Xenopus tropicalis: one gene and its partner. The protein of the gene in region 1 interacts with the protein of each later gene in a biochemical or structural test. Links are inferred from orthologs where the notes say so. Each region holds a gene or a part of one and is shown in the gene's direction. Other genes may lie near its edges.

The links.
Region 2: the proteins of pax3 (region 1) and sox10 form a complex in vitro, tested with the Homo sapiens proteins (2 studies listed by BioGRID and IntAct). The link is inferred for Xenopus tropicalis from reciprocal best matches to the Homo sapiens genes PAX3 and SOX10.

What each region holds. Positions count from the first base shown.
Region 1 is NC_030681.2:124,955,803-124,958,801, reverse strand, and holds part of pax3 (paired box protein Pax-3), read left to right. Parts: intron 1-2,499; coding exon 2,500-2,746; intron 2,747-2,999. UniProt on the Homo sapiens protein: Transcription factor that may regulate cell proliferation, migration and apoptosis. Involved in neural development and myogenesis. Transcriptional activator of MITF, acting synergistically with SOX10.
Region 2 is NC_030680.2:122,164,627-122,167,544, reverse strand, and holds the end of sox10 (transcription factor Sox-10), read left to right. Parts: intron 1-162; coding exon 163-833; 3' UTR 834-2,283; downstream 2,284-2,918. UniProt on the Homo sapiens protein: Transcription factor that plays a central role in developing and mature glia.

The sequences.
Region 1 (2,999 bases):
TGGTCACTAAAGTGAACAAATCATGTTTCAATACTGGTGAAGAATTAAAATTCAAACCCCCCCAATTCAGAATAAAGAATAATATATAACTAGCTCTAGCAACTGTAAATTGATTAATATGCTAATAAACTATGTATCGGTTCCTATCCATCCTCATCCTTATTCTCCAGCGGTTACTCCAGATACTGTTTAGCTTGCCTGTAACAGGCCAAATTAGTCCCTGGCATTTTAAGTACACAGAGGCCCAAACAGCCCCCAATCATCCCAATAAATAGGGACTGGCTGTGGCACCTTACAGCAACCCCTCTGGCATTTGCCAGAATCCACAGATTGCCAGTCAGGGTTGGCCTGAGACACAGCTATGCAGGCCTCGCATGGCTCTAAACATGCCCCTTGCCCAGATCCTCTCCAGAGGCTGCCATGCATGCTGTATGCTTCTTTTGGAAGGATAATCCAAATGCGTTGCAGGTACAGATCTAAAGATAAGTGAGAAATAAATTCCTGCATGTCCAAACATGGTGCTTACTTCTTTATTCTATCACTTGCCTTGTGGAGTATAAGGGGTTCGTTGTACCTTTTCGTTTATAGAAGTAAGGATGTTATTTCAGAATGTCATGTTGCCATAATTTAAGCGCAGGGCACATAGATGCCAAATTTGTTTGTGTAGAAGCTTTTTTGTAGTTATCCTGTGCCTTAAGTTTACACATCTTTTGTCATTGCTTAGTGGGGCTTTGGAGTCTATATATAAAGGTAACAAGGCCCTGGATTAGCCTTCCAGGAAGGCGCCATGTGGAAACGCTTAAGTATAAGAGGCAGCTCATACACCCACCCTGTCCAATTTTTATCCGCTGGTGATTCAGTGTGTCTTTAACAACCTTCTGCTTCTTGGGGTGCGGAAGTGACTTGTGTGCATGTCATACAGAATATGTGCATCTGCCAAATAAGCAAAAACGAATTCCTAATATAAATGTTCATGTAGTTTGTAGTTTCCTTAATGTATTGGAAACATCCAGATGTAACTGTCTTTTTGTCTGCAAGTCTGGAATTCCCCTTTATACGTACAGTCCCCACAGACTGATTTACAAAATACGATTATTAGTACAAAATCCCACTGAGGTGTAAGTCAGATTAAATACACATGATGGAGATATTCAGCTACAGGTATGAGGGATAGAAACTGCCATCAGTTGATTCATGCTTGTGTGAACATGGCTAAGGAATTTGAAAGGCATTGTGCTCAGCGGGGATAGTAAAGGGCAGGTGGCACAATTTTTCTTAGAACTGAGAATCTGCGCTGCATCTGGTTCCCATCACCATTGAGTAAAGCTCTGGACATCTTCAGGACAACGTGTCCAGCTTCCTGTGGAGAGAGCTTCCGTAAATTACACGCTGCACATGTGTCAGGGTCAAATATGAACAGAAAACATTAACGGCTAACAGTCATTGGATATTAACCCTTCTGTCCATGACACAAAATGAAAACAGACCAAATGCAACACTTTATTTCTGTGCTGTACAACCAAGCTGCCTACACATTATGAGTAGATGGTGGAAAGAGCTTACAGTGAGAAAGGGACACATTTCTGCAAACTGATCTTCTATTGCAGTGATCATGTTGCTCACCACCCTATTTGATGTTATTCCCAGGGGTTTTAATGTTTGTGTGGCTCACCAACTCTTTTTACTTCTGAGTATGGCTCATGAATAAATAAAGTTGGGGATCCCTGGTGTACAAAAATGAAAACAGAGCTTAGTTTAACCAGGAAACAGTTAAACAGAGAGAAGTGATTAGGGCAAGGTGACTGTGCCCTTTGGTCAACTCTCCATGTAGGCAAATAGGTCAAGGCTCAAAAAAACAAAACAAAACAGGGCCCTGAAGCCTGAGGCGGCTTCTCTTTTTAGCTTTTCAAATAGACCCAAGCATGAAAATCAAATTATGGAAGATGTTAATTAAGTGCAGGTAGATTCCCATAGCACTGGAATCTCAATATCAGATTGAGAGAGACAGACTCTGTGGGGCTGGTTGCATGCACAACTTATCAACAACACGAAATGCCTTTCCGCCGGCAACAAAGAGAATCGCCAGTGGAAAGGCCTATGTGTTGATTCGTTTTTCTGAAGTTGCACACAGTTTCCTCCTGCCGGCAACTTTGTACGACCTCCACTGCCAATTCCCTTTATTGCTGGTGGAAAGACTTTTTGTGGAGATCAGTCGCCCACAGTAGCAGAGATTTATTGTAGTTAATTAACCTCCCTATGGGACATCAGCCTTATACTGTAATTCTGGTTTGCTCATTTATTAGAAGTCCCTTGTTTCTTTTCTATATTTTTAAGTGCTGAGTAACTTGCTGCTACATAAATAAATGAGGATATAAGTTAGATATTCATTAACTGTATATGTTTACCTGTACTTTTAAATACAAAAAAATATAAGATGTGTCATTTCGTAACAACAGTCACGAAGTAAAATTTAAAATGCAATCTGTTTATTTCCTGCAGGTTATGGGTCTCCTGACTAACCATGGTGGAGTTCCACATCAGCCTCAGACGGATTATGCCTTATCTCCTTTAACTGGAGGCCTGGAGCCTCCCACAGCTGTATCAGCAAGTTGTAGCCAGAGACTGGAACATATGAAGAGCTTGGATAGTCTGTCAACATCACAGTCTTACTGCCCACCAACATACAGCACCTCAGGTTACAGCATGGAGCCTGTCACAGGATACCAATATCCCCAGTATGGACAGAGTAAGTAGTGCCTTTATGCTTTAACATTTTACGCAGTGACACATCCCCAGTTAATCCTTCTATAATAAATTGAATGTGGACTAAACGTGTCCTTCTCCTGAAGCAGCAGTGTGCTTGCTCAGGAGTCTGGACTTAGCAGTTCACAAGAGCCGTGTTTCCGACATTCCTATTACACAGTACTGGAAACTGAAAGTTCACCGGGATGTTTGGAGTTTGTTTCTGTATGCATATGAGGATTAATATTTCCTTCTCA
Region 2 (2,918 bases), on another chromosome or scaffold:
GGGGACGACATTTTAATATTGTTATATAATGCATATTATAGTATAATAATTACTTTATTACGCAATAAAGCAAATTGTTATCTATAGAAAAATGAGGGGATTGTTTTAGAAAGGGTCACGGTAACATCTACCCTGTTAACTAAAAGAATTACTCAATTCCAGGTCAAAGTCATGGACCCCCTACCCCACCAACAACACCAAAGACAGAGCTTCAGGCAGGAAAGTCTGATGGCAAGAGGGATGGGTCTCGTTCATTGGGAGAAGGGGGAAAACCTCACATTGATTTTGGAAATGTGGATATAGGTGAGATCAGCCATGATGTCATGGCTAATATGGAGACATTTGACGTCAATGAATTTGACCAGTACCTTCCGCCTAATGGTCATGCTGGGCACCCAAGTCACATTGGGGGTTACACTTCCAGCTATGGCCTCAGTGGAGCTCTAGCAGCTGGTCCATCTGCTTGGGCTCTGGCAAAGCAACACCCCCAAACTGACTCCAAAGCTCAAGTGAAGACAGAAAGCTCAAGTACCAGTCATTATACAGAGCAACCATCTACATCTCAGCTGACCTACACTTCACTTGGCCTTCCACATTATGGTTCAGCATTCCCCTCCATTTCCAGGCCACAGTTCGATTATGCTGACCATCAACCATCAAGTTCTTATTACAGCCATTCCTCCCAAGCATCTAGTCTCTATTCAGCCTTTTCCTACATGGGACCTCCTCAACGTCCACTTTACACTGCAATATCTGATTCTCCAAGTGTAGCTCAGTCACACAGCCCTACACATTGGGAACAGCCAGTCTATACTACACTGTCAAGACCATGAAGAGGACAAAGCTACATAACTAAGGAGGGACAGGTCCTGAAGAATAATAGGCTCCAGCATGGTCCTTTCATAGCTCATAACCCAGGTGGAATCTGGATTCCAAAAGTATCAGTAAACCCTAGATGGTTTTTACAGACCCCTGGAAAAGACAGTGACTGGTTCTTCTTTATTGAAAAGACATAAACATAGTAGGGGTAGAATAGCAGGGCAATGCAGGGATGGGGGAAGGGAATGCATTTTTTACAAAGTTTATGGACTTGGGTCTCTTGTACAAAGGGAGGAAACTGCAACATTTGCTATACCTGTGTTTTTGATCTTAGATACTGAAGTGACATTGGAGGCTTAGGTATGTACACTCTTTGTACGATAAAACAAAAGCCTCTGACAGCCAACCAAAAGCAGCTTGACTACTTACCGAACTAACCTGGGCTGCTAGACTGTATGAAATAAGGGATAGCATGAACATCATTTTTTTTTTATCTTGGGTATTTACATGAAAGTTAGTCAACAAATAAGTATAATGCATGTTAGAATGAATGAAGTTATATCTAGCCCTCTCTTGTGCTTCAAGGGCATCAAGCAAAAACTTACTATGGACACAACACAGGCTGGAGATTCAAAACCTGCAAACTTTATTCATTGTATTGTGAATAGAGCAAGCAAATGACCTAAATGACACATTAATATGTACAGTCAGATGTCCAGAATCTAGTTTAAAAACATTCTAACACTATGTTATATGGTCAGAATTTTTCAGGGTAGGAAGTTCCACTAACCCCTTTTCATACTCTGAATACCATTTGGTCCGAGGGATCTAAGTTGCTGCGTGCCAAACATGTCATTATAACATATTCAATTCTAACATCATTTTGTGGGTTAAGTGGTCAGATAGAGTGCTTTTTTCTGATTTGGTAATTTCTATTACCGCTCATTCATGATATAGTGGGAAATAAGTTGGAGGAATAAAAAAACATTATAAGAGAACAATCTAGCTAAACAAATATCCTGTTAACATGGTAGAGCCAGGAGTCGAAACACTTCACAACAAAAGCAGTGATTTTCTGATCTGAAGCTTCTGGTGCAAGAATGTTATTTTGTCTGTATCAGAGTCTTAAATACTATAATGTCTTATTTAGCTGTTATATCATGTTGTTCTCATTTCCCATGTGCAATACTCAAACAGCAGAGAGCTAGCATGTCAGTCTATTGGAACAAAATCTATAACTTGTTGTTTACATAATGACCCCCCCCAGTTACTTGTCAATGTATGTTTAATTCTACAAGTCAGAAGTATTACAGATGGCAAAAGATGATCGCTTTCAAATGATTGTTCATATTAAGGATTCTCTGCAGTAGACATTTCCAACTCTCTTATGTTACTTTTTAGAACCATTTCCAACGTGGGAAATACAGAGGATACTATGAAGTATGTTTTTCAGGATGAAAAAAATGGAAAAAAAAGTAGAGACAATGTGTAAATATAAAACTATATATTCGTATATATATATCTATTTTTGTTTGTTTCGGGGCAGCAATGTAGAGGCCGGTGCTTCTAATCCTGTGGGTAGCAGAGAGGATTATATAGAACTGGTGCCCACAGGATTAAACCAAACCAGTGAACTTTGGGTTTAACATTTTTTGGGGGGTGGGTTTTGTTATAAAGAGGGACAGAAATCCATTAACCCATTTGGAGTTAATTCTTTAATGCTTTGCTGTATACCAATATTAACTCCGATGTATAACATAAATTGTCCCTTCCTCCATCAGTTTCCATCCAGTTATCAAATGATTGTTTTTTTTGTCATTATTGCCTATATATGTAACTGTATGTGTTTGTTATTTATGTAAATATTATCTTACCCAATTCTGGCAATTTCTTTAACTGTTCATAAACATATTCAAGATATATATTGTATTAAAAAAATAAATCTTCAGACTCAGTGTGCCTTTTTAGGCAAGGTAATTCATATGAGATATAAGATCCTTCATGGAGTCAGTTGATGTCAGAATCTAGAACATATCTAGAATATTTTCTAAACAGTGTATTATTGTTATGGGGATTTAATAGATATGTCTTTAAACTTA